Xenopus tropicalis: one gene and its partners. The protein of the gene in region 1 interacts with the protein of each later gene in a biochemical or structural test. Links are inferred from orthologs where the notes say so. Each region holds a gene or a part of one and is shown in the gene's direction. Other genes may lie near its edges.

Region 1 (6,893 bases):
TTGCAGAGTGGCCTTTACCTGTCTGTCACAAGAAATTCCTGTTCTTTTTTTTATTTGTTTTAGTATTATTATACGTACTAGTTGTATTACAATATTTATTCTGGATCCGGGGCAATAATCACATGTGTAGCAGATGGGTTACTACCCACGTGTTTTAATTGAACGCTGTGAGGCTACACTGTACACTGTAAGTGCTACATGCCTTTACTGACCTACAGCCTTCTTTTGTCTTTCCCAAACAGTGGAGGTCTCTCCTCTCCTTTCTGCGGCAGTACCCACTCCCAGCAGTCTATCGCCTACTTCAGGAGAGCTGAGAGCGGAACCGAGGTCCGGCAGCGGCTCTGGGGGTATCCTGGACCCAGTGGGTCGGGAACAACAGCTCCAGCAGCAGCTACTTCTCCTGAAACAACAGCAGCAACTCCAGAAGCAGCTTCTATTTGCTGAGTTCCAAAAGCAGCACGAAAACCTGACAAGGCAACATGAGGTCCAACTACAGAAACACCTTAAGGTGTGGAACCTTTCTTGGTGGCTTGTGAAACCCATGTAACCAACACCTTCATACAGGGTCCCTTTAACTTCCCCCCACCGTAAAGCTCAAGAATCACTGGGCTCATTTACTAAATCATAGTCTAAATAATCAGTACATTTCACTGTGTTGCTCAGTCCGGGACTCCTTTGCTCCTATGTATATTATAACTGGCACCATGCCCCTTGAAGTAAGTACTACTGGCAACATGTTTCTTCCTCCACTATATGAGCACAAGCACGATGAATATGTGTATTTTAACATGCCCGGGCATCCATTTTTGTGCCTTGTAGTAAACTAAACCTTAAATGAATTGCAACACTTTTCTGAGCATTTTGTAGCAGAACTGCTCTGTAGCCCATTCCTTTCTTTTAAATGTTTGTTCTTTATCAGTTTTATATGACGGCTTTTTGACTAGTAGCTTTCCTGCTAAATATAAGCATTTCCCACCGGATCATGCCCACAACTTATAGAAATTACTTTTCTTTTTTCCATATTCCTTAGAGATTGCCCTTTCCCCCATATAAAGATTTTTGGCTGTCTCTCTGATTGGGATGTCGTCTTATCTGTTCAACCAAACTAGCTTTCTTCTTATAACCATATGCAGACATTGCTCCTTTTCTTGTCAGTTCTGGTAGAGAATTGTGTTATTTATGTTGAATTGCCATCTTCCAGCAAAGGGATCCCCAACCTTTTTTAGCCACACCTTAAAGGAACAGTAACACCAAAAAATGTATATATTTTAAAGAAATTAAACTATAATGCACTGCTGCCCTGCACTAGTAAAAGTTTTGTGTTTGCTTCAGAAACATTACTAGTTTATATAAACCCTGGTGTGTAGCCATGGGGGCAGCCATTCAAAAGAAGAAAAGGCACAGGTTATATAGCAGCTAACAGTTAAACCCTGTAGAATACAATGGTGTCTTATCTGTTATCTGCTATGTAACCTGTGCCTTTTCTCCTTTTTTCCAGCTTCAATGGCTGCCCCCATGGCTACACAGCAGCTTATTTATATAAACTATAGTAGTGTTCCTGAAGCAAACACCCCAGTTTTACCAGTGCAGGGCCACAGTACGTTATATTTCAATTACTTTCATTTCTTGGTGTTACTGTTCCTTTAAATATGAAAAGTGTTAGTGAGCCACACAAGCATGATATAAGTTCTTTGGTGATGCTAAATAAGGACTGTGATTGGCTATTTGGTAGCCCCATGTGGACTGCTGGCCTGCAGGAGGCTCTGCTTGGAGTAAAACTATGTCTCTGTGCACCTACTTTAAGGCCATTGGGAGCAACATCAAAGGGAGTGGTTGCCCCCGAGCCACTGGTTGGAGATCACTGCTCCAGCATTCACCCCAGTCTTTTTGAATTTTTGCAGCAACAGCAGGAGATCATGGCCGCTAAGAGACAGCAAGAGTTGGAACAGCAGAGAAAGCGTGAAAGGCAGAGGCAGGAAGAGGCTGAAAAACAGCGACTGGAGCAGCAGCTTCTGATTCTGAGGAACAAGGAGAAGAGCAAAGAAAGTAAGAGGATTAAGGAAAGGGGATACAATTAAGCTAGGGGGCAAGGCAATATGATCAGAAGCTGCAGAACATTCATCTTATTTAGAGACATGGTGCTTAATCCTTTACTAGTGTGTAATCTCTGGTTTTTGTTAGGTGCTATTGCCAGCACAGAGGTGAAACTAAAGCTACAGGAATTTTTGCTCAGTAAGTCCAAGGAGGTACCTGGAAATGTGAACCATTCCATCCTACAGCACCCCAAGTGCTGGTAAGTGAGAACTAGAAGAGGTTTCTTGCACTCCTGAAACCTGCTTTATTCCTCCTTCATACTACATGGTATTCGCTGCTTTCTTAAGTGCTCTTCCCATCTTTATTTTCTACTTCTCTTTCCATCTAATTCTCATCTTTACTTGCACTGTCACCTCAAGTACCTGCAGTCTACTCTACATCTTCATCTCTCCTTTCCTTGGATTTTGTTACTTAATATGTTCTCACCCTCTCCTCCTCCCTTTCCCTTAGTATCTTGCTCTAATCTTTGCAACTCTGTGCCTTCTTGCTGTATTTAACATGTAGCATTACCCCATTATAACTGTATTTCACTATTTTATATGTACCAAATGTTCATTTACCTTATGGCCTCTCATCTGTTTTCTCATGGCATATCAGTGTCCCATTCTTTTGTCATAGGGGCACGCACCATACCTCACTGGACCATAGTTCCCCTCCTCAGTCTGGGTCACCAGCAACTCCCCCATCCTATAAGGTATCCCTCCTTGCAACCTGCGATGGACGTGATGACTTTCCTCTCCGCAAAACTGGTTAGTATATCCAACTTGGGTTTTATACTGGGCACCAGAGAAACTGAGGGAGAATGATCAGTGAAGAGTTTGAGGCTAAGGTTTATGTGTAGGATGTTATTCAAAATCTTATTATGTTTTCCTGCAGCCTCGGAACCTAATCTTAAGGTCCGATCCCGATTAAAGCAGAAAGTTGCAGAACGTCGGAGTAGTCCTCTGCTTCGAAGAAAGGATGGAACTGTTATCAGTGCTTTTAAGAAAAGAGCCATTGAAATCCAGGGTATGCTGGAACTGATACAATCTTTAAGCAACTCTTTACTGCTACTCTTTGCTGAATTCCTTCTACCTGCACCCACATATTTGCCTCTACTTATCCTTTATATATTGCATTCCTCACCCCATACTGCTCATACAGTCACTTTAGTTCTACTGCACTCCATTGCTTTTTTTCCTGTTCCCCTGAAACCCAAGTCTCATCGCTGAGATGTTGGTGCTCCTCCCGCAGTGTCTTCGGTGTGCAATAGTGCCCCAGGATCTGGGCCGAGCTCGCCAAACAGCTCCAACAGTGCCATATGTGAGAATGGACTGACTGGCAGCGTGCCTAATATTGCCAGCGAGGTAAGGGAGGCCTAGGGTAAAAGTTGTGGGAAAGATGTGCATGGAAGGCCCGGACTGGCAATCTGTGGCTTCTGGCAAATGCCAGAGGAGCTGCTGTAATATGCAATAGAAAGTGGACTGGTGGGGGGCTGTTAGGGCTTCTGTGTACATAGAATGCCAGGGCCTATTTTGACTACCAGTCCAGACCAGCATGGAAGCTGGAAGAGGTGAGAAGGGTCAAATGACTGGATAGTTTAAATAGTACAAGGGCTTCTGAACATGGTGGGTGAAAATTGTTTTGTGTTGCAGTGGTCACTACTTAACCAGTGACAATATTGTACTCTAAATTCTTTAGATGCTTCCTCAGCAGAGAGTTCTGGCTCTGGAAGGAGCGGGTGGACCTCTCGGGTTGTATACTTCTCCATCACTGCCCAACATCTGCCTGCAGGGGAGCACCAGCAGCCTAACTGTGAGTAGCCAGACTGAAATGGAAGTAATGTTTACAGTCTGAGAAAACCTTTGCACATTTACAGAGGGTTTTTAGAAATGTATCATTTCCAGGCATGATGACTTGACCTTTACTACTTCTAAGGTTCTCTCCTCAGGGTCAGTTTAGCCCCCAGGAAGGGGCAGAGCGTCAGAGTCTGCGCCCAGGTGGTCCCTTCATTAACACCTCTCCACTGCCTGCCCTGGATGGGGGTGAGATAAGTACCCTGACGGCACCTTCTCTCCTACAGCATGTTCTCTTACTAGAGCAGGCTAGACAGCAGAGCGCTCTCATAACAGGTGAATATCTGCTTTTCTTTTCCCTTTTCCTTTCAAGGTTTCATTTTTCTCCTTTAGTTTTTCTATCCTTAAATTCTCTCTCTTTTCATGACACCCGGTTACATTTTCTTTTCTTCATTCACCCATCTTATTATAACCTGACTTATTTCCTCAAGTTTCCTAACTTGCTTTCCTTCCGTCTTATGGAATCAAATAATATTTAGACTTTCCTTCGTCAGTCAAATTATTTTTCATTACTATTAGTTATTCTTTGTTGCAGTCCCTCTTCATGGTCAGTCCCCCTTAGTAGGGGGAGACCGAGTCTCTGGTTCCCTACGCTCTGTCACCAAAGGCACAAGGCATCGTCCCCTAAGTCGTACACAGTCCTCTCCTCTCCCGCAAAGTCCTCAGGCGCTTCAACAACTGGTTCTGCAACACCAGCATTACTTGGACCAGCAACACCTCAACAAGGTTTGTATAGACCACTCAGGACCTTAGCTTAACTGTGCAACTATGCCATTGCTCCAGAACTCTACATAAGCTTGATATAGTGCCATTATTCCACAATATTCCTGCCCTGTGTCTTAAACGTGGAGTTCTCTAAAAGCTTCTTGTTCTGTATTCCCATCCCCAAATTCTCTGCAAGCTTCTTCTACTGTTTCCTCAATGTGGAGCTCTCTAAAAGCTTTTGTTCTCTACTCCTATCCCCAAACTCTCTGCAAGCTTCTTTTTCTTTGTCCCCAATGTGGAGCTCTCTAAAAGCTTCTCAAAGCTTCTTAATCTTTACCCCTGTCCCCAAACTTTATGCTGACTTCTTCATCTATGTTCTCAATGTGGAGCTCTCTAAAAGCTCTTGTTCTCTACCTCCATCTCCAAACTCTCTGCAAGCTTCTTCTACTGTGTCCTCAACGTGGAGCTCTATAAAAGCTTCTCCTAATGTATTCCCATCCCCAAACTTTTTGTAAGCTTATCTAAAGTGTTCCTAACCCAGAAGTCTGTAAGCTTCTGTACTCTTCCCAGGACAGCCTTGGAGTTGCTTCTTCTCATTCTCAGTACAGTGAGAATGGGAATGGGAATTTATGTAGCTCTGCAATCCTAAAGTTAATGTCATAAATGGATATACAGTGGATATAAAAACTCTATACACCCCTGGTAAAATGTCAGGTTCCTTTTTTTAGTCGCATTCCACAGCAAAAGCCATGGTCCCCAGAGAGCTTCCAAAGCATCAGAGGGATCTCTTTGTTAAAAGATATCAGTCAGGAGAAGGGTACAAAAGAATTTCCAAGGCATTAGATATACCATGGAACACAGTGAAGACAGTCATCATCAAGTGGAGAAAATATGGCACAACAGTGACATTACCAAGAAGTGGACGTCCCTCCAAAATTGATGAAAAAACGAGAAGAAAACTGGTCAGGGAGGCTACCAAGAGGCCTACAGCAATATTAAAGGAGCTGCAGGAATATCTGGCAAGTAGTGGCTGTGTGGTACATGTGACAACAATCTCCCATATTCTTCATATGTCTGGGCTATGGGGTAGAGTGGCAAGGGGAAAGCCGTTTCTTACAAAGAAAAACATCCAAGCCAGGCTACATTTTGCAAAAACACATCTGAAGTCTCCCAAAAACATGTGGGAAAAGGTATTATACAAATACCAGTCAATATTGGCACAAAACCTTCAGGCTTCTGCTAGAAAGCTGAACATGAGGAGGAACTTCATCTTTCAGCATGACAACGACCCAAAGCATACATCCAAATCAAGGAATGGCTTCCCTGGAAGAAGATTAACGTTTTGGAATGGCCCAGCCAGAGCCCAGACCTGAATCTGATTGAAAATCTGTGGGGTGATCTGAAAAGGGTTGTGCCCAGGAGATGCCCTCGCAATCTGACAGATTTGGAGTGTTTCTGCAAAGAAGAGTGGGCAAATCTTGCCAAGTCAAAATGTGCCATGCTGATAGACTCATACCCAAAAAGATTGAGTGCTGTAATAAAATTAAAAGGTGCTTCAACCAAGTATTAGTTTAAGGGTGTGTACACCACATTATTTTAGTTTTTTTGGTTTTCTTCCCTCCACCTAAAAGATTTCAGTTTGTTTTTCAATTGAGTGGTACAGTTTATAGGTCACATTAAAGGTGGAAAAAGTTCTGAAATGATTTATCTTTGTCTCATTTTTGTACAGCACAGGAACCTGACATTTTACCAGGGGTGTGAAAATATCCACTGTATGTCTGTTCACCAATGTAAAAGATTTGACCCAAATTGTATGCTGACTGACCTTAGCTGGGCTTTTGGGGTATCTAGGAGTATGACACCCAATGGACTGTCATACTGACTTTTCCTAGCTATATTTCTGTCATTATTTGCCAATACTATTTTAATTACTCTGGTCACATTGCATGCCCTTATCTTGGGGATGTCTGTGACCCACCCATACTATTTCCAAACATCAGGGTGGTCCTATTACTTCCCTAGGGTAGCTGTCATCTGTTGATTGTATGCTTTCCATTTCCATGTATGTGTATTTTTCCCCTTCATTGATTTCTGGCCTGACAATTCCTCCATTGTAATGAAGTTCTGCTTTTAGGGGATCTAAACCATGTGATCTTTTCCCTAGCTGGCTTATTTTAATGGCATGGTAACACAATACTGGTCCCCAACCAGTGGCTCATAAGCAACATGTTGCTTACCATCCCCTTTGATATTGGTCTC
Region 2 (7,386 bases), on another chromosome or scaffold:
TGACCTCTCTGTTCCAGCGTCAGATTAAGACTATATTGGGCTGTACTCAACACACGAGTCTTCCAGACACCATGCCCTAGATTGAAATCAGTACACTTTGGCATTTCAAGTATACAGAAACCTAAACACACCCCATAGGCAGAATATAAAATCTATTCTAGCTATTGGCAGAATATCCAGATTTACTGTCCATTCCTGTTTTACACCTTTAAAATCCAACAGGGCAATGCTATGCCCACATATTTTTTTGTTTTTGCAGTCTTTGAAAAGCAGTATACAGCAGCTTTATATCAGAAAATGCCTTTATTGGACTTGGCCCGACCTCAGATAAAGGGGGCAGTCTTGCACAAGTGCCCCACCATGTCTTCATTTAGCAGAAAGCACAATTAAAAGATCATTTGCCCTTCACTTGAATTTATACACTGTCTTTTAAGTTCTATTTTAATTTAACGTTTCTATAAACGTTTAATTGAAATAATTAACTAAATTGATTTTTCTGTACACTCTTGTGTATCTACATATTTGTTTTGTATGAATGACAGCTCCCATATTTAGCCAAAACATGAAAATGGAAATATTCTTGCTTACATATACTATTAGTGACCTGGACTAAGCAGATCACATACATTACATTGTCCTTGTTTATTAAGAAACAAAAGTTATTTCTTTAAGTAATCAGGAATTCTGCAAAAAATGACTCAATTTTTGCCTCAGGTAAACATCTTTTAATTCAAGAGTACATCGCTACTCACTCTGCCTCCTGGGTGCTAAATACTGCAGCTTCTGTAGAAAAGAGCTATGGATCCATCCCAGGTTGTGTGTAAAATTGCAGGTCACCCCTTTATAGAGAAAGGAAACCTTTGTCACCCTACTATTGTAATGCCACTGGGTCCATCTCCCTCTTACAGTAATATGCACCTGAAACCAAACTTACACACTTCATTGAAATACATAGAGTCATCACCAGTCCTCTGATATAATCAGAAGCAGAGGAGCAGGAAGCATTGAATGGCCGATGGGTGAGACAGGGACAGTCAATATGCCCCTGGATCAATTTGGATTTGGGCTGGCATCTCGGTTATTAAGCTTTATTTTCACGTTGATCTTATTCTTTTCTATGGAATTAATAAGACTACTTGCCTTATAGAAAACAATGAAACCACTTCCAGGCTGTATGCAGTGGCTACTTATTTTCTTGCTCAATTTACAGCCCTGTGTGTACAAATAGCTGTATATAAATATAAAATGTGCTTACATAAATCACCACATAAGACACCAGTTTATGTGTGTTGGTATAAGAGCCAATAGTTATTTTGGGCATGAGCAGCAGTTTTTCAAGAGACAGCGGCGTATGTAGAAGTTACTGCGCTCTTTATAAAAAATCATTTTACAGTTTAACTAAATATTCAGGGGCCTATAGTGTTAACATTCCCAATAGCTTTAAACCCTACACTTCCTTATTTCACTATTACTGGGCGGAAGCCCATGTATCTATCTTGCTATAAGGATGTTTTGTATCTTTGGCCCATGAGACTTATGATTACTTGCTGCACACTGTAACATAGTGTTCAGCAGGAGGTGAGAACTTCTTATTTGGCCTGCATCTGTTGAAACAGGTACATGATCAACAAGGCCTCAGTAAAGCCATCTATCTCTAGAGAAGTCGGGGAGCAGGGACCCTGTGAACGAGGATTTAGTAAGTGCAGGATATATTCTCCTTTACAGTCTCCACTGCCTAATTGAAGGGGCCACAGTTATAACAAGGGTATCAGGCATAGCCTTCTCCCTCATATATGTCTGCTGTTTGGGATCTGGTCCATTAAGGTAAGAAACTTTAAGGAAAAAGATGCCCTACAGTGGTGCATCTTTACATTGCTTGCTCTGCATTTAACGTGCCAATCTGTTGCCCTGCATCTGCATTGTGAGTATTACTGCATTAACCTGTGGACCATTTGTCTTGGACAAATAAACTGAGTTCTGTTTGAGTTTGCTGCAAGAACCATCTGGTACCCTTTATTTCTTTATTTTTGCACACAGCATAAGTGAATTGTAGTTGCACAACTACATGTCCCCCTTGGTCCTTTCACATAACAAAGGCCCATCCTGTGTGTTAGTCAAGTGTACCCCATGCTCCATAGCCCATCTAGCTGGTCTTTGTTTTGCAGCCAAAAAGGGGTTGCAATTATAAGATAGTTTCATAAAATGTTCATTAGTCAGTGACCCACTAGGCACACAAGCGGTAGCAGAGTACCTATTCCCCTCAGCTGACAGCCCGGTTCGACAAGCCTCTAATCTCCACACCAGCCCTGGCACAGAGAGATAGAACAGCAGCCCTAAGAGAGCACAGCTAGGGCCAGGGTAATGTTGCCTGTCATGCCCCACAGATGCCGGTGGTGGCGCTGTCTCTCCAGGAGCACCGTGCCCAGGGAACACCATAAGAACAAAGTTACTGTGCGAGCTACTTATTATTATAATAATTAATTAAGACCAGTAACATGTGCATGCGTTAATAAAGAGTGCTGTGTAAATGCGGATGTATGCAGCCCCCCTGCTTCCAATTGTTCGCATGTTTCTCGTAGCTCTGATCAGGAACTCCCTGAGCCCCGGTGCAGCAGCAGGCCCGGGGCTGCCATCCTGCCTCTAAGCTATAGCTGCTATGTGCGAACAGGCAGCGCCTCAGCCACACACACATGTATACTCTCCCTGTGCTAGCCTTGACTGACAGCTTCAGCAGAGGGCTGCTGACGTCAGAGCTGGCTCCGGTTGTCAAGGGCAACCTATTTGGCAAGCGAGCTGTGAAAAAAAGACAGGGAATAAAGGGCCCGCCCAGGAGGCCTCCTGCTGCTCTGACGTCAATGGACGTTAACTGTGAGAACATGATGCCTTGTGCATAGAGCGGTACATTGGCTTCCTGCTGCACAGCTGCCTCCACTCCCTGTGTCTGGTCGCACGCGTGCTACAGCGACTAACAATACCTCTGTGCAAGTGAATGGGAGCTGCACAATGCTCGTTACTTTGCAACACTTTAGCCGTAAATCTGCCTGCAACGACTTGATGAGCTGACTTTATCGGACCTGTGAAAACTCAGCCCGATTGGTTGCGTTTTGTTTGCATGTTAATGTCAGACGTTCCCACCTTGCATGGATGTGTGAGAGCTCATTCGGGTATAACCGTGCTGAACACATGGCAGGAGCTGGACAATGCAAGCAGTAACGCGTTCCATTTGGGAATTCTTCGCCACCATCAACTTTACAGAAAAGTCTTGCGATTGTATGTAATGTGCGGGCGCTAGAAGCTGAATGTAGTTTGCGTTGGGTTGCACTTGCCTATAAGGAATGGCTAAGGTGAGCCCCCTGTGAGCGCCTGTAGGATCTGCCTGCGATTCCTTTCACTGCGACTTGTTGGGGGGTGTGAGCACTAATCGTGCCGGTTGATGTCTGTTTCCCGTTGGAGCTTCCTGGCCCGGCTCCCAGCATGGTCATGGCGGACTGTCAGAAGCCTGTACAGAGGGGTCCTGTCCGGGTCGGATTTTATGACATAGAACGCACTTTAGGGAAAGGGAATTTCGCGGTGGTGAAGCTGGCGAGGCACCGGATCACCAAAACCGAGGCAAGTACTGGCCAAATGTCTGGCTAATAACTTGTGTGAGCTTCACTGCATCCCTCTGCTGTTCTTGCACTACAACTCTTGGCGCAAAACTGCAGCGTGTTTTAGCGCAATAACAGCTGGGAAGCCGCTTCTTTTACATTTCAACTATTTCCATTTTCTATTATGCCAATAAGGGCATTTTCTGCCTATTGCCTTATCCCTGCAAAGTGCTGGGCACCCAAATGTGACAGTGCTGTGTTCTGGTAGGGAGTGTTGCTGCTGAGGACTTGCTGGGCACCAACTTACAGCATTACCTTTCCTTAGCAAGTGATAATGCTGGACATGTAATTATGGCATTGGTGTTACCTGGTAGGTGCTGGGCAGTGGCACCTATTTATGGCATTGTTTTACAATTGTGAGAGTGTTTGCAGTGCACCCATACTCCTTTACACTAGTGAGGTCTTATGTTAGACATCCAGACATGCCTTTGCATTACCTTTGTAAGTACCATTACTGGGCTTTTAAATATGGCATTGCTTTATCCTGGTAAAGGCTTTTGCTGGGTTCTCCTATATGGCATTTTTCCCTTTAATGGTTAAGCTTGTGGTGTCTAAGTATGGCATAGTTTACAGGGTAAGGTTATTGCTCTAACTTGGTAAGTGTTATTTTTGGGGATCCAAGTGTGCCATTGCTTTAGCCTGGTAAGGTCTGCTGGTGGCCACCTAAACGTGACATTTCTTTTCCCATTAACAACTGGTGTCAACTATGACACTGCCAAGTAAGGGTAAAGATAATAAATAGTAAAAATAAAAACATCTTGCCAACTGCAATAATAAAATTTTTATTTTTTATTGATGCCACATTATATAACTATAATTTCTTATTAATCCAGAGTCTTTAAAATCACAGTACAGACCTGCTTTGTGTGGCACCATGGAGACAATAAACATATTAATTGGCATAGAAATACTTTAGCAAACAAAGTTTGGGTACAAACAGCTTTTATTTTGCTAAATCTCATTACATTGCTTACTGTTTCGTGGCCCAAAGACAGCAAAGTCAAACATAAAGTACCAGCATCTTCTGTCTGGGAATACTAGGGGTTTGGGTTCAACAACCGCTAAGGTTTGCCAAACATGCTGTTGCTTTTCTCACTTACAGCCAGAGTTACAGGTGACTGGCAAAACCTACTCGGCCAAGTATCTTATGAACTGCACTAGTAACCAATTTGTTCCCTAGAATCCAAGAACACCGGTTCATGTTTACCTGCTGATTTATGAGCCACCTAGCAGGTTTAGCCCCTCACTTAATACCGCAGGTAAAGCTGTGCATTAATCCATAGTACCAATCAATTTTTCCTGCTTTTTCCAACTGCATCGCACTGATTAAAGGTATATCTCTGGCTGCTATTGGTTACTGCAGCATTTCAGTGAAGCATCTCTCTTAGAGAATGGGTTCATGGTTTGTTTGTTTGCCCAGTGTGTAGTTTTTATGATAAGTCATCTGAACAGAACATGAATTCTGCATTTTAGTTATGTTGCCATAAAATGCCTTGTAGTCACAATCTCAGGTATAGAAACCAACTCCAGTCACACTACCAAGATTGAGTGACACTCTATCTAAAAGGTGTACACTGTGGGTTTTTTACCTGTTTCTGGGTCATGTAGTTCAGCCGATCAAACTGATACAGCTAAGAAATTGATGTCATCTGATGGCCATTTATATTTTCCTGAGACCTGTAGTCTCTTAGTATCACTTACACCAAGGCAGATTAAATGTCACCCCTTGCATCTTGTCATCGGACCTCTGTATCCTGTGGCAATGAGATGCTCTTACAGTTAGAGAGCTGGCAAGGGCTGAATGAGTATTCACACAACATTATTTTTCTTCTATCTGTGATGCATTACTGTATTCTATACATAATACTTTTACTAAACGTTTAAACATGTCCTTGTGTCAAGAACTAGTTAAATTGTTATTAAAGGGGATATAAATCAGTGAATAAAAGTTTGCCAGATTTGAGAGATGGTAATCCTAAGCAATTTTCAACATGTATATGTGAATTGCCTATTTATAATAATTATAAAGTTATTTTGTAAATATATATGCTATGAATAATAGTATCTGTTTGGCCCTTTGTTATTAGGACTTTTGAAACAAGGTAGCTGAAGCCTGCAAGCCATGCAAGGCTGACTTCTGTTACCTTGTTTGAAATGACAAAACGAGCAGTGCAGAAATGGAAAGACAAGTGCTGCTTTCAGTTGCAAATTACTTTAGAACTAGTGAAAAATTTTATGAAATGTATATTGGAAGGTTCCTTAGAATTAGATTCTTTTATTAGAAATACTTTTTTTGGACTGTGGGGGAGATATTTTTATGTTTAAATTTTAACATTCTGCCTTATTGTGGCAAAAACAGATTCATTTGTAATTTTAATTTAGTGTGCTTTTGTATGTAAAAATAATATAAGCATTGTATTGGGGCCTATATAGAGTTAGCACAGTTCTAAGAGGCATTTTTTAGTCTCCAGTTACAACTATACCTCCATACATCTCTGCACATTTCTGCCTCAACTTATTCCTCATGCAGGTGAATATCTTGCGAGCCAGGTTTGCTGCCAACAATATCTGTTTAGTTTAGATATCAGTGATCATTTTTGTTTGTGACTTGCAGTAGCAAGCAGTATTGAAAGCTGCCCTTTATGTACTCTTTGCTTCCTGTTGATATAAGATCGAGGGCTTCGTCGGGTCCTGAGACAAGTACATTTTGTTGCTAAACTTTGCATATTGTGTAAGTTTGTTTGACCCTGAATTCAGGTCACGGAACACTGTTCAGTTTTTCAGTTCATTTTTTTTAATTGTTGCACTATTGAAGCTTTTTGTGCTCTGTTATACACTATCTTGCAACACAAAATGCACAACACTTCTAATCAGCCTTTCCACCTAAATTTGCTAATTTTTGTGACCTATAGAAATGATTGTTGGCAATGAATACATTCTTAAAGTTACATTTACTTATTTACATGTTTATATTTAATGATCACATAACAATTAATGCTTTGGTAAGCCAACAATTAAGTACAGAGTATCTAACAATATGTAATAGCTACATTTTTTTCTAACTTCATGTTGGCATATTTAATACAGTAGAATTTTTAACAAAGAAGTCGTTCTGTGTTAAAAATGTAAACCTTAAATAAAAATATGATCTTTTGGCAGTTAGTGTGTGCAGTTTAATAAAGTCTGCACTGACAGTTGTACTTAAAGGCCATCACATGCTGCCCCTGGGATGCAGGGAATTCTACCCAATTCTGTCCCTTTCAGTTTTGTTGTATCACTTACCATCTATCTGATATAAGGTATTAATGTCCAAATGTAGGCACAACTCCCAGCACCTTTCAGGCAGCTACTGTATGTAGTTGTAAAATACCCTGCAGATGTGTGATTACTTCTTAGCAGTTTGTAAATAATTAAAAATGTAAATTCCCCTCTCCATGCTCAACTAACACAAGAGTAGTCTGTTGCTTTGATCTAATGTAAAACAGCCTACCTATCAGCATGACACATTGGTACACTTACCAGACAGTGCAGAATCACTTGGAGATAATATTTATGGGCAGGCTCTATTGCCTTGAGTTTAGATCAGATCCTGTGAAGTCCAAGACCTAACATGCAGTAACAGTTTTATGTTAAAGGGGAACTCCAGCTTCCAAAGAAAAATTTGTTAAAGAGCTCTACACAACACAGAAACCCTTAATAAACCTATTACTGTAATCTGTTCCTTCAAAAAATATGAATA
Region 3 (7,691 bases), on another chromosome or scaffold:
AGAATAACAAGACAAGTTATATGTGGGTGGGGGCTGCCAAGTACTCAGACCCCCAAATTTGCAAAATTCTTAACAATTCTTGTTGGTGGTTATTGTTTGCCATGACAGAATTGACACAATCTAGATCTCTAATAAAACATCCCACACATTCTGACTAAGAGTTCTGCTAACTATACAATGTATTTTTCATAGCAAACCTTCACTATTTCTATTCTACAAATTATATATATATATATATATATATATATGTGGGTGCAGGATAGACCTGTCAGTGGACACACAGTGGATTTTGGTGCATAAGTGCAAAAGCATGCATTTTTGCACCAAAATCTGCTGTGTGCCCTAACAGGATGATCCCAAGCATGTCAAAGGCAGCATATTTGGTTTTCTCTACTGGCGTAAATACAACCCAGGTGCAAATATATAAAAATCCACAATTCATAAGGTAACCAAATACACACTTATAAAAGTATCTAAATCTGCAACCCTCATCTAACAGTGAAACCTAACTCCTCATCCAGCTTAGATTTTAGTGTCACCTGAACCAAGTAAATTATACTTAACTGATCATTTCTTTAAACTTAGACATTTTTAACAAATGTTGCAGGGATTTATAAAAAGGACTGTTGCTCCACAGGAAATCTTTTTTTCAGTTTTAAGATAAAGAGTGTTTTTTTTTTATTAATATACAGAGTTTTAAAGAAGCATATATTTCCAGCAACACTGTGTAATTTTAAAATGTTGAATACATACTGTTCATATTAATTCCCTTGGTATTGTATTAGGTAATTATTACATGTTAAATATATTAACATTGATTCTGGTAAAATTAGTCTGTGATAAAGACAAAGGATAATATTCAACTAAAAAGCTTAACAGAAGTGTCAATATTTCTCCCAAGGGAAGAACATCTAATAGACTTCCAACTAACTGTCGGAGGATGATCGGGGTTTTAGTTCAATATCAGAAGGAGCTGCATTTAGCCTACTGCTTCTTTAAATTATTACATTTTACATTTAAAAGTGCTACAGCAAAAGCCACTGAAGTTCCCAAGAATCTCCAGACACTCAATGCATAACCAGCCTCCTAAAAGCATATCTAGTCTTTTGCTGTCTTGTTGACGAAGAAGTAAGTAATAGCATAAAGCCTAAGACTAAACCCACATAATATGAAAAGCCCAATTATTCTCTTAATAATCCCTGCTAGGATCTACAGAACTGAAATACAGTTGTGGACATCACAAGAATACAATAATAAAAATGTCATATATTGAACTAAATCCATGTAAGCCCAAAATACATCTCTTTATTCTGAACAAAAGGATGTTGGGTTTTAAAAAAAAAAAAAAAAAAAAAAAATACCACAGAACATCTTAATTGCAATAAAACACAAATCTAAACACACGTAGATACAAACAAGCAGTATGTAACGCAATCAATTATTTGATGCATTTAAAGGGGAACTCCGCGCCAAACACAAATTAAGCTTTTTGAAAAATAAACATAATTTCAAGCAACTTTGCAATATACATCAATTCAAAAATATGCATCTTTTGATGATTTTTAATGTAATAATATGGTTTGGAACAGGTACCTAAGCCTGGCCCCCTGTTCTCCTGCTGATCTGGCTGACTACTTTGAGATTAAAAATAAAAATTTAACAGTAGTCGACTGTCCTCAGCCTGAATCCTCCAAATCTCACAATTCCCTGCACACGTGATGTCAATAAGGAAAAGAACATCACAGTGCTTTGTGGGTAATGTAGTTCCTGCATTCTGTCTGTAAGCTGTGGAGAATTTTTTTTTTTTTTTTAACATGTGTTTTAGTCCCTCCTCCCCTGCAAATGATGCAGAAAGGGAAGAACTGTTTTGCAGCTTGATTTCAGCATATAAAAATGGTATTTATTCAGTGATATGTGGGGCTCTTTTAAAAATGTTGGTTCCAAAGCCAGAGTTCCCCTTTAAGTGCGTTCCAACCAGCATCTCAAACATGTAAGAAAAAAAAAAACCATGTGTAAGGGCCCTTAATATACACATTAATGCTATACTTGATCTCTCATTTGTCCTGCCTTACATGAACCTCATTTAAGGAGAAGGTGGGCACCAAGCCTCACTCACACCATTTGATCCCCTATATACAATGTAGGATCGAATGTGTCTCCTAGTATTCATGTCCCTGGGTCAACTGTACCTTCCTTTATAAGAATGAAAAAAATCACAAAACGAATTGTATAACGCCACTGTTCTTTTAAAGACCCTCATTAGCAATGGGCTTTAGATAAGACAGTTAAATATGGTAAAGGAACCAAGCAGCCACAGTGGAATGTCTAAAGGACACTTCTGAAAGCGCAGACAGAATACACCGGGTACAAGTAAGGGGACCTATGTGATTATAGTATTCCTTTAACAAGAGAACGCAGACTATTTATTACTGTATATAGAAGCACTCGCTGTTGTTACCCCTACAGACACATTAGCATTCACGGTTCAGTACTTAATGAATGGAAATGCTGCGAGGTCTCGGCTCATGACAAGGCTGCGCTGTTATTCTCTACCCACAGAATTCCATAAACTACCGCCTTGCCGAGAACTATTATGTCTAACCCACACTGAAACCCGCCGATTCCCTGCCGCTTGAATCTTCAGAGCACCTGATGCTCCCTTTCCAACCACTCTTGACTGACACCAACCTTCCATTCCTTCCTAGCCAGGAGTAAGCATGGCGGCCGGCCGCTCCAGCATGGGGAGAGAGAGTCACGTGGGCCAGGCGCCGGCCTGACGTCATCGTTGTGTTGATTTGCTAACCTTAAAGGAGAGAGGAGTTAGTGAGCATGAGAGCGGGCACTGCGAACTGTTTGGATTAGGCTGCTGCTTTAAACAGCGCATCTCTACTCACATACATGCCTGCAGAGAGAGCTAGCAAAGGAAGAAGCCCATCTGAGGTGAGTGCAGCTAGTGAGCCTTTTATTCCTACAAAGTGAGCTACTCCCTAAACTTATCATAAGGGCATTTCTTATTGATAGCGGCTACAAGAGGCTGTGATTGGATTGAGTGGCTGAGTACAGTAATACAATACGCTGGGTTATAGTGTTCTGATACAAGCATGCTCAACCTGAGACCTTGCTGCGTTATAGTTCTCACTGTACCTCGGCAGCCTCCGCTTGTCTGGACATTGTGGGAAAGGTAACCCTAGCCGAGGGTGGGTAGGTCACGTCTGTGTCTATAGCCATGCTTGCACTTACACTGAGGGGAGCTTGCATTGCTCAGGCTCCGGAAAGTCGGAGTTGCGCTGGGTACATGCATACTTCATGACGTTTGTCTGTTTCCCCTTTACACTGACAATGCAAGCATATTATTGTCCTGTACGGGTTTAGTTGTGCACGTTAAGTGCTCTCCCTCCATCACTTTTTATAGTGATCCCAAGTCAACTTCAGCTGCTGCTGTGTGAGATCCGTGCGCTCTGCATGGCACAAAGCGCTGGAAAAGTTCATCAGAAATCCCGAATTAGCTGCTTATTGGCAGGATAGCGCTAATTGTGTATGCGCCGCCACACTCCCGGCACACAGGAGCCCCGTTATTATCCTTATGATCACTATTATTAGGTGAGGATAGAGAGCCGGTGAGGTGCACACTTACTGAGTACTGACAGAGCTATGGCTTGCGAATACTGATTTGAGGGATGCTCTATTGTGCACTGCAGGAAAGGCTGCGATACAGTTCATCATCTTGGATTAGAATTCGTACAGATCCACATCTGGTACTAATACAGATCGCTTTTCTACAAGGCACAATAGGGCATCCCTTAGCCCCAGCGCTGTCCTGCCATCCTAGGCGCAGGCTGTCCCAGTGGGTGCACATTGATTATTGTTAGTGTTATCATAATGTCGCACACTGATTCTGAGAGCCCCGCTGCCCTACCATTGAGCAACTCACGCACATTGGGATTAACTTTAAGCGCTTTGTGCAATGCAGGGGGCATGGCGCTATTTCGCTGTAAGGTGCAGACTCCTCCGTGCGCTGCAGGGAGACAATATCATTTCTTAGAATAAATTCCGTGCGCTGCAGGGAGACAGTGAGATTTCGCTTTCCTGCTGCTGCTCTGAGACGGGCATGGTGTTTGCACTTGTTTGTGTCTGCTGGTCCAGGTTTTCTTTCGGGAGATGGGATTCTATAGAGAAACTGTGATTTATTGCGTTTTATATAGATAAACAATAGAAAATTGCGTTTGATCACCCTTGGATTGTGACATCAATATCTTGCCATTCCCACTGTCTCTTTGCATTTCATCTGTTGAATGAAAACCCGAGCTTTTCCCTCCGCTCCCCTTTTCTCGTGGAATATTTTTATTTTTGTGCATTTTTAGTATTATTCCTGTAGATTTCATTCATATGTGTGCTTTCCATTGCTTCCCTCTCTCCCCATAAAACATCATGTTCTCAATTCTATCCAGAATTTTGTTATGAAACTGCCCCGCCCCTGTATCCCTGCTGTATCTGTCTGTACAGTGCGATCTATCTGGATCGGTCTGGCCGCTAATTCCATTCTATACGAATCTTTGAGCTGGATACCGGGCTCCGTGCGCTAAAAGCCCCGCGTCAGTATTTGGTGCTCTCTACATTTCTGTCACTGTATATTGGAGGTGGGGTACGGCAGAGAGGACAATTGCAGGATATTGTCAGTATACATTTCACTGATTTTAGCCTGCAACCTTCTAGCTGTTGCTCTACTACAACTCGTAGCATCACCAGTAGGAGGGTGCTGGGAGTTGTTGTTTCACAGCAGCTGAAGGGGCTGCAGGTTGGATAACCCTGATTTGTTGGCCCTTCACCTCAGGTTGCCCTAACTGAGCTGCTCTTATTATTAAGTGACATCTTGTCACATTGCCTCATATTTTACTTATTTTGAACCCCCCCACCATTAAAACGTCTTTCCTCCAAACAAGGGTTAATATCCGTGTGATCTAATCTTCATGTTATTTATGCTATCATGGGTTTTTATGCAACATGTATGATTTCCAAAAACTTGATGTGCCAGGGGTTTAAATAGGCTAAATCTTGGCAATACACAACTGATAAAGAACTTTTAATAGTTCACTAATTAACCCTTCCAGCTCATCAAAAGCAGCTTTGTTCTGTCACAGGGTGTCTTTCCGACCCCCCCACCCTTCCTCCCATCCCCTGTCCAAAGAAAAACAAACAGGAGACTCACAACTGAAACCAATAGATCTGTTTGTCCTTGTTGCAAACCTCCAGGCTGGTGTCCTTGTTTGTAACAAACCTTCTCCTGTATGGGCATTTGCATGGGCATCGTCATGGGCAGAGCTCGCTTTGCTTTATTCTTTATACAGTACATAAACCATAACTTGCTGCCTCAATTGCTTTTTTTGCTTGTTCTTGAAAATTTGCGTGTTTTTTAACAGAGACTTAGCAGTTTCTTCTGTAAAACGCTTACGCACCCATAAAAGTCTGCAGAAATAGAATTCTTTTATGGATAGAGGTAAACTGTAGCCCATATTTTATCACTTCATAAATTATGTGTAACACTGCTTCCCAATCCCACCCATCTCCCCCCCCCCTTTTTTTTGTCTTTAGCTGTTATTGTAGACAGCTCCCTTTTACAATCAGTGATCAATTAGTGTGTATTATCTTATGCCCTGATTGATAAGCCACACAGGTGTTTGCTTTTAGCCCTCTGTCAAGGTATTTTAAAGTGGTAGAGGAAATATTTGCCTTTTTCCGGGTGACATCACAGTTAAGAGCTGAGGTTTATGGGTCTTTGTGTGGCTCTGCATTTATCCCGGTGACCCTCACACTGTATAACTGCCTGCTACTTCCCAACAGACAAAAACATTCCTGCTATTTGCACACACAATAGTACTAGCCACTATTGTGGGATCTGTTTTCTTAGCTCTCTTACCCTGATTTATTATTTGTTGTGTCCAGTATTAATGTGTTTTATTTTATTCTGGTGATATGAAAGCCTGTTATAACACTCTTCACTTTTAAAAAAGGTTTTTGACTTTGAATGTTAACTGCTGGGAACATTTCAATTACAAGGTGGAAATATGTTTTAATGTTGCCTAGATAATGTGGCAGTTCTCATTCTTGCTAATTTAACTTAAATAGTTACTCATGAAGCCAGTTATCTGAACTACAGATGATTTCCCCTACTTTTTATAATACTCTTACAGATCTCTTGATGCCATGCTACTATGTGATACTTGTTGGGGGATATGAAGAAGACCTACATGCTTTTCTGGTATGCTTTAGTTTGTTCATGCGGCTAATTGTAATGAAAAGGTTTAAGGGTGCTTGGCTTTGATACTTCACAGAGCTAGATACCGTAATACATAGCTAGAGAAGTCCACTGGGGGGAATTATTTCTGTACTTAGGCAAGGTGTAACAAATGTGTATGAAACCCAATCATAACATTCCATTTAACATTTAAAATAACATTTGAAATTATTTTTTTTTTTATTTGGCCAGTATATAATTGAAGAAAAATGTGTTCTTTACCTCTTAATTCCTGGTGGGTCACATGCTGTAGAATTTTTTTTGGCTTTGCTACAAGTGTATTAATTTATTCTTTTAAATAGTGTGGACTTTATAATGTTTGTTGATCTTAGTGTTCAGCTTCCACAGAGGTTGGGGTTTGTCTTTCTTTTTCTTTTTTTTTTTTTTTTTTTATAAGAGTTTCTAAATTAAATGAGTTTTATTTCCAGTTTTGCTGAATCGCATGTTGCTTGTGCGCAGTGTAGTTTGAGTTTCAGTGCATCTGGGAGCTATTAGTTTTTTCCCTAGTAAGTGTTAAGTGGGCAATATATGAAGGGGTATTCACTAAACTGTTTGTTGTTGCACATTGACGTTAATGTACCTTTAAATTCATATTCATAGGTAAAAAGTGCTAATGGCAAATTAATGCACAAAACAAAAAATAAAAACATTGGTTTGCATTTGTAATCTCTAAAGTTGTTTAATGGATTTCTAGTAGTTTTCCTCGCAAGATAAGTTGTTCCCCAGTGACAAAAAACATGCGGCAAGTTCATTTAGACTTTTTTTTCTATTAGAAATGAAAATATACTTTTATAATTGTCTTTATTCTTTTCACCTAAACTTTATCTTAGTGACTTCATAACAGAAGTACCTGCATCCAGCATAGAAGCTTTTAAGCTTGTTGAAAGAGCAAGCATATGGATGGGGTGATCCCTTAAATCACAGGTTGGAACCTGTTACCCTCCAAAAGAGCTGGACTACAATGTCTAGTTTCCATTTACTCCTTTAAGCTGTTTGGGGGTGCTGGAAATTGTAGTTAATTAACATCTGAAAAACATCTTGCCTGAAACTTCCAAGCATTCTCAGCTAGATTATATCAAAGAGTTGCAGTTTTATCATGCAGCGGGAAGTTTGCAGAACTGACTCCTATAATGTGAATCAAATACACGTCTGACATTTTGATCTTTTTCTTCTAAATTAGTGCAAGGTTGGCTTTTACGCTTTTGCTGTTAGGGGCTTCTGGGAGTTGTAGTTGACAACATTTAGAAGGCCACGGGTTTGACGTCTCTAATTTTAGTGCATTGCTTTCCTCATATTTAATGAGCTGCAAATTAGGGGTCATTCCAGACTTCATATTGACAGGCTGAGCAAATCAATTGGTTTATACACTAGTGTCATACAAACATTTCATTGGAGAGGC

The links. The genes of interacting proteins can lie anywhere in the genome.
Region 2: of the proteins of hdac5 (region 1) and sik2, one has a biochemical effect on the other in vitro, tested with the Homo sapiens proteins (2 studies listed by BioGRID). The link is inferred for Xenopus tropicalis from reciprocal best matches to the Homo sapiens genes HDAC5 and SIK2.
Region 3: the proteins of hdac5 (region 1) and zbtb16 form a complex in vitro, tested with the Homo sapiens proteins (2 studies listed by BioGRID). The link is inferred for Xenopus tropicalis from reciprocal best matches to the Homo sapiens genes HDAC5 and ZBTB16.

Annotation. Positions count from the first base shown.
Region 1 is NC_030686.2:18,405,635-18,412,527, reverse strand, and holds part of hdac5 (histone deacetylase 5), read left to right. Parts: intron 1-242; coding exon 243-508; intron 509-1,901; coding exon 1,902-2,046; intron 2,047-2,181; coding exon 2,182-2,293; intron 2,294-2,712; coding exon 2,713-2,843; intron 2,844-2,970; coding exon 2,971-3,102; intron 3,103-3,327; coding exon 3,328-3,440; intron 3,441-3,774; coding exon 3,775-3,888; intron 3,889-4,024; coding exon 4,025-4,205; intron 4,206-4,464; coding exon 4,465-4,655; intron 4,656-6,893. UniProt on the Homo sapiens protein: Responsible for the deacetylation of lysine residues on the N-terminal part of the core histones (H2A, H2B, H3 and H4).
Region 2 is NC_030683.2:84,189,090-84,196,475, forward strand, and holds the start of sik2 (serine/threonine-protein kinase SIK2), read left to right. Parts: upstream 1-2,405; 5' UTR 2,406-3,474; coding exon 3,475-3,609; intron 3,610-7,386. UniProt on the Homo sapiens protein: Serine/threonine-protein kinase that plays a role in many biological processes such as fatty acid oxidation, autophagy, immune response or glucose metabolism.
Region 3 is NC_030683.2:85,511,105-85,518,795, forward strand, and holds the start of zbtb16 (zinc finger and BTB domain-containing protein 16), read left to right. Parts: upstream 1-2,710; 5' UTR 2,711-2,940; intron 2,941-6,188; exon of another isoform or gene 6,189-6,256; intron 6,257-7,691. UniProt on the Homo sapiens protein: Acts as a transcriptional repressor. Transcriptional repression may be mediated through recruitment of histone deacetylases to target promoters. May play a role in myeloid maturation and in the development and/or maintenance of other differentiated tissues.